Linked DNA regions of Arabidopsis thaliana. The protein of the gene in region 2 interacts with the protein of the main gene of each other region in a pairwise test. Each region holds a gene or a part of one and is shown on either strand. Other genes may lie near its edges. The genes, in order: EMB3003 and AT5G55220.

Region 1 (5,035 bases), on a different chromosome or scaffold from region 2:
ACTGAGCCTCTAGTAGGGGACATTGAACTGTTCAAGGTAATCGATCCTTCCAAAAGCAACAGCAGCCTCTCAGCAGTTGCAGGCACCATCGGCTACATTCCACCAGGTGAACACATTATACAAAACTTATATGGGCTTGTCTGAGAAACAACAGCTCTCTTAATCTTTCACTTTTGATCACTTCATCAGAGTATGCTTACACGATGAGGGTGACAATGGCTGGGAACGTCTACAGCTTTGGGGTGATTCTTTTAGAGTTGTTAACTGGAAGGCCAGCTGTAAGTGAAGGAAGAGATTTGGCTAAGTGGGTGCAGAGCCATTCGAGCCATCAAGAGCAGCAGAACAACATTCTTGATCTCAGAGTGAGCAAAACATCAACTGTAGCAACAAAGCAGATGCTCCGTGCCCTCGGTGTTGCTCTTGCCTGCATAAACATCTCTCCTGGGGCAAGACCAAAGATGAAGACTGTTCTACGGATGCTCACAAGACTCTAATTAAAAGTGTCAGATGCATGATATGTAAATTTTTGCTTGTTACTGTATCTGTATGTATAAGCAGCATAGAGATTAGAGAGGTTTCTTTCCTCTGACAGACTATCATCTGCATCTCCATTTTTGAGATGCTGAGAGAAACAGGAAAGATGTAATGCATTCACAGTTGTAGTTTGAAAATTATCAGTCCATATAAGATTCATGTTATTAATCATGCTAAAGTTATCAGTTCATATAAGATTCATCGCATGAAGTGGATATATATGAAGTCAGTAGCAAAATCATGTGGGACGGCCTTTCCATGCAGAAAATGTTGCAGAAGATATATCTCAAACAAAGAAATGATTATGTTTAATCTTAAAAGGTTTGTTCTATCAAAGAAACTGATTACCGCAGAAATACAAGCTCCCATGGAATCAAAAGCAGAGAAGACTGGGATGCGAAAAGCAGTAATTTGGCCTAGAATGTAAGGTCCTTTGGGTCCTCAATAATGCTTGCCAATGTTTGCAAGAACTGTGCAAGATCAGCACCATAGATGACACGATGATCTGCCGTCACATTCACCTGTGGGTTTGCAAGTGACCAGTCATCATTAACAAGTTCCCAGGAAAACTCGAGACGTTTTCATGAAGACAAAAAGGAGAAGAGGAACAAGTTCTAACGATGGTTGATAATAACATTTACCTGCATCTGGTTTTTCATGCCAATGCGGCCGTCTTTAGTTGCAACCACTGAAGGTTGAGATGCTCCGACAGCCATAATCGCTCCCTTCATTGATCAAAGACAAGAAAACCAATGAGCTGTTATCCTTAGCATAATTATTAGGCTAAAAGACATAACCAAGATACAAACTAAAATACACGCATAAAGGTAAAAGCACTAACTGTTCCAGGGGGTAGAATAGCATCAAACCGATCAACGCCAAACATTCCTAGGTTAGAGAGAGTGAAGGTACCTGCAATTACCCGGAAGGGAAATAAAAACAACAAGACTCAAACAATCTAGTTGAAGGATTACTCAAACTCAAATCACTTCAATATTCTAGTAGTAGGATTACCAGTGTTGTACTCCTGAGGCTGCAGCTGCTTGGCTCGAGCCTTATCAACCAATTCTTTCCATTTTCTAGATAACGAATAAATGTCAACCTGTTTACAAAAGATAGAACAACCCACTGATACCGGTTTTGAATACAGAGTAAACTCAAAATCTCTTATAAAGCATACAAAAGAAAAGAACCTTATCAGCGTTCTGAAGCACCGGAGTGATCAAACCACCATCAATAGCAACAGCAACAGCAACGTTGATGCTACTATTATACACAAAACTGTTACCATCTCTACAAGACGAGTTTACAACTGGATGTTTCGCCAGTGCAAGTGCAGTTGCCTTTGCTAAAAGTGCCGTCATTGTCACACCTTTCGACTTAATCTAAACAAACCAAACACAAAATGTGAACCAAATCAACATTTACACTTACAGTTTGTAACTAGTGTATGCTTCTGATGCACATCATAAGATACTATCATTTATAATTCAACTAGCTATCTCTCATAATCTCATCCCAAAGTTCAAAACTTCATCAAGCAACTATTATCACAATCAATGGAATCTCCAGTCTACTCTATCATACCAACCAAACGGATTTCAAAACACACTCACCTTCTTGTAGAGAGCATCAAGAGCATCCGTACTAATCGTGTAACCGACTCTAAAAGTAGGAACACCAAGACTCTCCACCATATTCCTACTCACAGCCCCCTGCATTGTCGTAAAAGGAACCACCGATCCCAACTCCACACCAGGAGCTGCCACTACCTCCTTAACAGCAACAGCAGCTTGAACTCCTCCTCCAGCAGCAACCGCCTCAACATCTTTAGCCACAATCCTTCCCATCGGTCCACTTCCAACTAAACCAGCCAATTCAACCTTCAACTCCTTAGCTAACTTCTTAGCATAAGGAGACGCCACAATCCTCTTCCCTCCTTCAGACGCCGGATGCACCGCAGACGCCGCCACCGCCTTAATGGACACCGGAGCAGCTGCAACCTTCTTCTCAACACTCACAGGTGCTTCAACTGCAGCCGTGGGAGGAGAAGCCGGAGGAGCCTTAGAATCACCACCACCACCACCACCAGAAGCTTTAGCTTTAGCATCAGCAATCTCATCTTCAGTTTCAGCTAACAAAGCAATAGCAGAACCAACAGGAGCAACACCACCTTCTTCAACCATGATTGCAGCTAGATAACCATCATAGAAAGTCTCAACATCCATATCAGCTTTATCAGATTCAACAACAACAACACTCTCTCCTTTGTTGAGTTTATCGCCTTCTGATTTAACCCAAGAGACGATTTTGCCTTCGGTCATCGTGGAACTTAGTGCAGGCATGAAGATTTCTCGGATCTTTGCTTGAATTGGGATGATTCTGGGCTTTACCCGGAAACCCGTAACGGAAGATCGTGTTTTTGTGGGGAGGGAAACTGAAGGTAAGAAGGGTGTTTGGAGAAGACGAGACATTTTTCGAATTTCGTTAATCGCAATGCGAGAGAGAGAGAGAGATAGAGAGAAATGAGATATAAGAAGAGTGAAGAAGCTCCTCGGAATTATCGAAGAGCAGGCGGAGTTTGCCAACTAATTTACCGGTGACGATCACTGTGTGACTCTTACTAGTGTATTGAAGGTGTGATACACGCGCGTTTTTGTTGTTGGGTATTGGGCTTTTTTCGAAGGCCCAATAGAGAACTATTCTGTAATCTTTTTAAAACCTTTAACCACATGTTAAGTTTTTTTACCATACACATTTTTCGCCCTGATTTTATAGTTTTTTACAGTTTTCATATAAGATTATCTCCAATGTAAATCTCTATTTTTCTCTGTAAAATAAAGCATGATTTCTCTCTTATGTATTATTTTATATGTTATTCTATTTTTAGAAGAAAATTTCATAAAAGAAAATTAAGGAGAAACTTATATTTTGTGTTTTAAAAAAATTTCGGTATACAAATTTGTTTGATGTTTGATCCATTATAAATATTGAATTTAAAGATAAATATAATTTTTAATATATTTCTTTGGTAAATGATAAATAATCTGGACAGTTGCAGAATATTAGTGTATAATACTTATAATATTATTTAGGGGTTATTGTCAAAAGAGGATGTTTTTTGATAAAAATTTTGATTTTGAGGCTTTTGTGTATGATCTTTGAAAAAGAGTAGTTTTGATAGGGCGATTTGATCATTTTACCCCTGAATAATCTCATCATCTTCTCTCATCATCTTCTTGCACGCTCCTCTTCTTTTAAATCCAATTTTTTTTCCAAATCTCATATTCTTAAAATCTATTCTAACTAAAAACATTCATTGATTCACAATAATTAAACCCTAAAGATGATAGTATTTATGAAACCAAAGCAAAAAATTAAACGAACGAAATGAAATCATCTTGCAAATGAAGAAGAAGGTGAATAGTAAAAACAGAGTTTCAGATTTGTGGCAGATCTGCAATCGAGTATTCGAAATCAAAGCTTTTCAATAATCATTTGCGTCCTCACTATTCACCATTAATGATATTTTGTTTATTGGAAGAGAATTCCATTCAAAAACTAAACCCTAATGATTATTGTAAAGGGAACCCAAGCAAAAAAAATCAAACGCACATTGATAAGTTTCTGAGATAGAATCTGATGATAAAGAGGAAGATCAGAGAAAAGAAAAAGAAACTGAGCCATCTCTCTCATGATTCACGGCCGCCGACGCCGTTCGTTACCATTGAAGGAGCTCATCTTAAGGGACAAAACCAATCAACTATCGTCACCGGAGCTAGCCCCGCTTCAATCACGTTGTAAAAAATCAATTGATCTGCAGAGAGAGAAAGAGATTTGATGGAAACGGAGACAGATCCAGTTGTTAATGGCGATGATGATGGCGTCGGTGGTTACGTTGGTGATGATGATGATGAGGGTTGATAACGACGACGACGACAACACAAAAAAGTCATACAATTTTTATTTGTTTTTGTGGTTTTTTAGACAAATAAGTCTATTATTTATGATTATTTATCGAATATCTAATAAAATGCCAAAAATTGTTTGCTTCAACGAATAATTTAGGAGTCCATTAATGAATAACATGACAATTTTGTTTTGGGCCGAAACCCACAAAACTTTCTTCAGATCATTTCACATATTGATTGATTTTTGTATTTTATTGAAAAGATAAATGTTTATTTACCTGAATAGATAATTCTAGAAGAAACCTTGTCTTTTCTTCTTCTCTAAACAAACACACACCAAAATAAAATCAAACGGTTGTTCGTAGTATGAATCACTTGCAATTTGTTTTGATAATCAATACACTATGACACCGTTTATCATCTGTTAATCGCTAATCTGAAATTTTTTTTTTTTTTTTTTTTAAATTTTTACTAGAAAAACATAACATATATGATAAATGCCGAGAAGGGGTACGCAAACCTGAAACAGAAACAAACAAGGCCGAGGCCCGAAACAAGAGGACGCAGCCCCCGCAGCAAGAGGAAGGTCC
Region 2 (5,956 bases):
TATAATCCAGTGCTGAATATGTTTTGTTGTGCTGCAGAACTTTGCAACGAGCCTTTTGGATGTGGCGGATAATCTTGAAAGAGCTTCTTCTGTTGTCAAAGAGAGTTTTTCGAAGATCGACACTTCAAAAGATTTGGCTGGTGCTACTCCACTGTTAAAAAACCTATTAGAAGGAGTGGAGATGACTGAGAAACAATTAGCTGAGGTAAAAACGTCCATTATATATATCTTTTGAGGTAAACAATGATAATAAGACTGGTGCTGAGAATGCAATTTTGTATGTAAAACTGCAGGTGTTTAGAAAAGCTGGTTTGGTGAAAGAAGATCCTTTAAATGAACCGTTTAATCCAAACAGACATAACGCAGTGTTCCAAGTCCCAGATGCTTCCAAGCCAAAAGGCACAATTGCTCATGTCCTAAAGGTACTAAACTATTCAAAGGATTGCTCTCTTTCTTGCTTTAACTCTTAAGCCTATGTTAACTTTTAGAAATCCACACAATATCATGGATTCTCTGCCATCATTTTATAACTGTTTTTTTTTCTTCCATATTTGCAGTCTGGATACTCATTGTACGATCGAGTTATAAGGCCAGCTGAGGTTGGTGTTACTTGCGCCGTGGAGAATCAAGAAGGCGGCAAAGAGTCTGCAGCTTGAAATACTTAAAACATCGAGAGTTAAGCTTTTGTTTTTAACATCTTCATGAGTTCTTTTTTTAGTTAATAGTTCTCTTTCTTTGCATATTCATTGGAGGAACAAGATTCCCATAAGGTAGCATGACTATGCTCTGTACTTCCAGGGAAGCCCTGGTTCTGTAACTTTTACACAAATTCATAAGCCAAAGCCAAACTCTTGGTAAAAGCTTCAAATCTTACATTTATATAACTTCTTCCTAACTTACAAACACACTACATAGAGATCTAGAAGACGTCAAAGTGGAATAACCGCCTAGCATAAGATACAATATAAGACATCATCACAGCTGAACACATTTTATAGTTGCTCATCCCAAATCAATATGATTCTCTTCATTCTTCAGTCCCTTCAGAATTCAGACACAGTCCCAGATTCAAATTACCAGTTTTTGCTTCCTGCAGAGTAAGTTTATAAAACACAAGTATGAACAAACACTAACCACTTTCATTACATTGCTTGAGTTTTAAATGAAGCTTACCTTAGTTTGGTCTGAGTCTGTTAGGTTCATGTCTAGCTCAACAGCTTTAGGTAATGGAGATTCAGTGTCGAATTCTTCAGTCTCTTCAATTTCAGAATCCTTAGAAATCACTTTTTCTCTATGCTCAAGCATCGCAATCTACACAAAATCAATCATTTTCCACTAATCCCACACAACTAAAACCCTAATTTAATGATTTGGGGAAAAAAAACTTACTGGAGCGTATCTGAATCTTCGCTTAGGCGACTCCTCTGTCTCACCGGAACCATTAGCGTCGGAGGCAGTAACCGTCGCTGAGGTAAGTGGAGTCCACTTATGGAGAAGTAGATGGTGTGGTGAGTTACTGTTGTTGCTGTTGTTACGACCGTTGGATTTAGATGCTCTGAAAACACCGACGGATGAGGTTGAGACACGTACCCACTTCTTCTTCCATTTCCTTACACGGCCACTGAACACCGCCGTCGCCGCCGGACCACTGTATCTCGATGACGTCCGGCTCAATCTCGATCCTACACCTTCCATTCTCTTCTCTCTCTTCTCACTAGCCGGGAAAATAGTTGCTTTATCTATCAGCTAGAAAACGCTGCGTTTTGATGTGATATAGCCACAAACGCGGCGTATTTATGTGATATGGCTTCAAAACGCGGCGTTTTAGTGAGATAATTGTTAATTAGTTGAAACGTAGCGTTTTAAAGAGAGATTTGTTGATTAGTCGAAACGCAGCGTTTTAAGGAGATAACTCTGTTTATCTGAAAGTAGAAGCAAGAAGAAGTGGCGCTTCATTCATTAGCTCTGTTCAGTATAAGCAAGAAGAGAGAGCGAAAATGGAGCTCTGTGTTATCAGCACGACTACGACGGTGAAGGCAATTAATCCGTTTCTTCCGTCTATTACACGTCGTGTTAGTTCCCGTCTCTTCCAATCAGATAGTGTGCTACAGTTTGGTGGGAGGTTGAAGAAACCAATTAGCAGGCCTTTGGACATGTCTTGTGTCTCTAGAAAAATTGGATTTTTCGGAGATTTTATGTCACATGGTGGTAATTTTAGGCTATTCGCGGCGGCTTCTCCAGCGGTTGAAACTAGTGTAAAGGAAGACAAACTTCCAGCTGATCTTAAGGTCACGGAGACTGTACAGGCGAATTCAAGTGTAAGAGACTTTCAATTTTTTTTTTGTCTATTTGTTGGAGAATATGTGTAGCATTGTGTTTGGTCTGAGTTTTGACATGACTTGAAATTTGATTTACTGTTCAATTTAGGTGAAATTGAGTGTGGAAGTTCCAGAAATTGTCTGTGAAGATTGTTACCAACGAGTCCTTACCGAATTCATGAAACTCTCAAAGGTAAACTAATATTCATCTTACATGAAGATGAAATGTTGAAACTTGATCCATGTAATGCTTGCTGTTGATTGTGATTTTACTTGGTTTGAATCAGGTGCCTGGATTCCGTCCTAAAACAAGAGTTCCAGAGAATATTATTGTTGGTTTCGTTGGGAGGCAATATGTTCTGAGAGCAACTGTTGAATCTATCTTAAAGAGAACACTTCCTCACGCCATGGAATCAGTAAGTTTTCAAATGTTTATATTAGTTTGTTTATGTTTTTCAATCTTCCGCGGTTTAATATAATGTTTTGGCCATTTGGCAAGAACAAGTCTTGTGGTGTATCTAAATTCGGTGTTTGTTGTCTTGGAACATTATGCATATGAGATTTTGGTTTTTGTAGGTGACTGGAAGGGCTTTAAAAGACTCGATACAGATTGTAAGCAGTTTTCCAGATATGGAGAAGGCTTATTCTAAGCTCAAGACTCTTAGGTTTTTGTTTCTTCATCACATATACTAAAAATCTTTTGGAGTAATGATGCTAACTAACTTAACATGTTTTTTTTGTTTTTTTTTTTCTGATTTTCTCTTGTTCCTTAGTTATGAGGTGGTTGTTGATGTTGTACCTGAACTAAAATGGAATCCTGAGGATGGGTATAAAAATATGAAGGTCGTTGTAGAACTAGGCGATGAGATAGATGCAAAAAAAGCTTGTGAAAGACAACTAAGACAGAAATACAAGTCTCTTGGTGCGTTGAAGATTGTAACCGAGCGAGGGCTACAGGTAAAGGAATGCATAAATTCCCCATGTCCTTGCATTGTTTTCTGAAACTAGTGTAAGGTTGCTAATTGCTGAGTTAAAATAGGACCGACCTTTTACCTCGTTAGTCGTTACATTTAAGTTCATCCACTATAGCTTATTATAGATTTAAGTTTTTTTAAAATAATTTGGCTATGAATCTGGCTTCATTTGTTCGTAGTTAACTCTGCAAAGATGATATAGTTGCTAGAATTGCTTTTTTATTATGTCCTAAAACCGTGTAGGTGGGAGATCTAGCAGTTGTTGATATTTCTGCTACAACTATAGATGAGGACGGGTCAACGGGTCAAGCGATTCCAGATGCTGAAAGCAAAGGTTTTAGAACTGTTATATTTCAACAGAGATTTGTGGTTGAAATCTCTTAGTCCATTGAAATCATTGCTTGCAAATGAATACTGAGATTGGCGGTTGTGTGAACAGGTTTTCACTTTGACACTGAAGAAGGGAATAGATTACTTCCTGGATTCCTTGATGCAATCATAGGAATTCGAGCAGGCGAATCAAAGTCATTCACGCTTGTGTTTCCTGAATCATGGAAACAAGAAAGTCTACGTGGCCAACGTGCTCAATTCACTGTGAGCTCGTCTTTCTATATACCAAACATAGAAAAAGATGATTACAAAGAGATCATATTTGGGACAGCTAATTGTGTATGTTTTCTTAAGGTTGACTGCAAGGAACTTTTCTACAGAGATTTACCAACATTAGATGACTCACTCGCTGATAAATTGCTTCCTGGATGCACCACTTTAAAGGAGGTAATGAACACATGGATTTTATTTTCAACAAATTATACAATTTTTTTTTTTGTCTTATATCAGTGTAATTCGCTAATGAAACAAGTAAACAGGTTGAAGAAACTCTGGCTAAAAGATGTCAAGAGATGGAGCAGGAAGCCAAGGAGCAAGCGACAGACAACGCCATCCTTGAGCAGATTCGAAAGGTCATCATCTAATTCCATATATCATTTGAAGCATTAACATCGTTGATCAAACATCATTTGCTTCTTTTTTTTTAGATGGTTGAAGTAGAGATTCCTCAATCTTTATTTGAGGAACAAGGAAGACAGTTTTATGGAGCTAGGCTTCTAGAGATTCAGGCAAGTGTTTTCAGTGACTGTTGTTGATCTCTTACTCTCTTTTACTGTCACTCAGATTCTTAAGGTTGAATATGGTGCTGCAGGGAAACATGAAGCTTAACGAAGACCAGTTGGCTTCTCTTTCAAGTCAAAAAGCAGTAAATGAGTTTCTAGAAACTCAAAGAGAGAGCATCACCAACATAATCAAGCAGAATATAGCTGTTGGAGATATCTTCAAGCGCGAAAACTTAGAGGTATATTTATATGCATGATACTCTGTCTCCAAGAAAGAAACAATACATTTTTAGTAACAAAAACATTGTCGAAATACTTGAATGCAGTTCTCAACAGATGAACTAGTTAAAGAGGTCGAAAACTCGATCTCAGAATTCAAGAAACATAAACAAGAGTTCGACGAGGAGCGTGTGAAAGATCAGGTTAGTTCTCTTGTGAATCTAAGCACTATCAGTTTCTTGAGCCTATATAAGATAACTGAAAGAGAGAGGTTCTTCTTGAATTGGTGGTTGGTTAGGTACAAGAGATTTTAGAAGGAGCAAAAGTGCTTGAATGGTTAAAAGACCGAGCCGAGATTCAATACATCACTCGTTGATTAGCATATAGGTAATGTATGTATGATTGGCATGTTCTGTTTTTGTATGAGCAATTTGGTTTTGATGTACAATTATGATTGATTTTGTCAGAAGAAGAGAACTTTGACTATATTTGAATTGATAGGTGCAATAAATTATTAACAGAAACGTTGCTTTTTATTTTGTAATTTAGGTCACTTTTTGATTCTATAGTCAATGTGTTTTATTGGATATAGATGGTATAGATATAAGTATTTACGTCGATTTCATATTGAATTTGCCAACTAACATTGAGTCATTTTGACTATGACTTGTTTTTTATTTCGACAAAAAAAAAAAGAGACTCTTCGTCTTTTCTAGTTTGGTTCTATATGGACTAATCTTCCCTCTGACCTCATCACTTTTGCTACTTGTCTTAGCTGTATTTACGAACTACTTCCTCATGATCCATGTTAAATTATGGAAAGGTAAATTAAATTTCACCAATCCGAGTAGGCTAGTACTTACACCATTTTCCCAACTAATAATAAACACAGTTCAATACAAAAAAAAGAAGTTTCTAACCAACTAGTGATTGGATTTATTAATAAGGAATAATATCGAAGATACTGCTAATTTGAAAACAGAATTTTATTCAAAATCAGCAATTCTCCGGAGAACTTTTCATCTATTTTGAATGCAAGACTATAATGTCAAAGATGTCAATGTTTGATCTGAGTATTTCAAACTAACATTTATAATTCCAGTTTACTTTACAGATATCTGATAATTAATTTATGTGTTTATCTTTGTCAACTGTATTTGATATTAATTCAAAATTCCTAAAAATGTTTTATCCTCTTGCATCATACTTTAAAACAAATATGAATTTCGACTGATAGCGATAATAAATATTTACAATATTGTAATTGGATAATATAAATCTAGTGATATATATATGGTCCCTAAAACTGGTAAACAACTTTGGTTGTACAGTA

Evidence for each region.
Region 1: the proteins of AT5G55220 (region 2) and EMB3003 interact in a two-hybrid assay, tested with the Arabidopsis thaliana proteins (one large-scale study listed by BioGRID).

The regions. Positions count from the first base shown.
Region 1 is NC_003070.9:12,587,077-12,592,111, forward strand, and holds EMB3003 (2-oxoacid dehydrogenases acyltransferase family protein), read right to left. Parts: upstream 3,148-5,035; 5' UTR 3,009-3,147; coding exon 2,151-3,008; intron 1,920-2,150; coding exon 1,728-1,919; intron 1,637-1,727; coding exon 1,549-1,636; intron 1,447-1,548; coding exon 1,376-1,446; intron 1,260-1,375; coding exon 1,176-1,259; intron 1,056-1,175; coding exon 951-1,055; 3' UTR 650-950; downstream 1-649. Other genes in the region: AT1G34420 (leucine-rich repeat transmembrane protein kinase family protein), read left to right, coding at 1-106, 190-494; AT1G34440 (uncharacterized protein), read right to left, coding at 4,272-4,351, 4,724-4,766, 4,966-5,035. UniProt on the Arabidopsis thaliana protein: The pyruvate dehydrogenase complex catalyzes the overall conversion of pyruvate to acetyl-CoA and CO(2).
Region 2 is NC_003076.8:22,395,680-22,401,635, forward strand, and holds AT5G55220 (trigger factor type chaperone family protein), read left to right. Parts: upstream 1-1,777; 5' UTR 1,778-1,997; coding exon 1,998-2,318; intron 2,319-2,427; coding exon 2,428-2,511; intron 2,512-2,605; coding exon 2,606-2,734; intron 2,735-2,894; coding exon 2,895-2,983; intron 2,984-3,091; coding exon 3,092-3,275; intron 3,276-3,535; coding exon 3,536-3,626; intron 3,627-3,731; coding exon 3,732-3,886; intron 3,887-3,976; coding exon 3,977-4,069; intron 4,070-4,161; coding exon 4,162-4,254; intron 4,255-4,329; coding exon 4,330-4,410; intron 4,411-4,493; coding exon 4,494-4,643; intron 4,644-4,730; coding exon 4,731-4,826; intron 4,827-4,921; coding exon 4,922-4,999; 3' UTR 5,000-5,177; downstream 5,178-5,956. Other genes in the region: MGE1 (Co-chaperone GrpE family protein), read left to right, coding at 38-205, 294-422, 558-656; AT5G55210 (uncharacterized protein), read right to left, coding at 1,028-1,090, 1,174-1,311, 1,390-1,695. UniProt on the Arabidopsis thaliana protein: Involved in protein export. Acts as a chaperone by maintaining the newly synthesized protein in an open conformation. Functions as a peptidyl-prolyl cis-trans isomerase.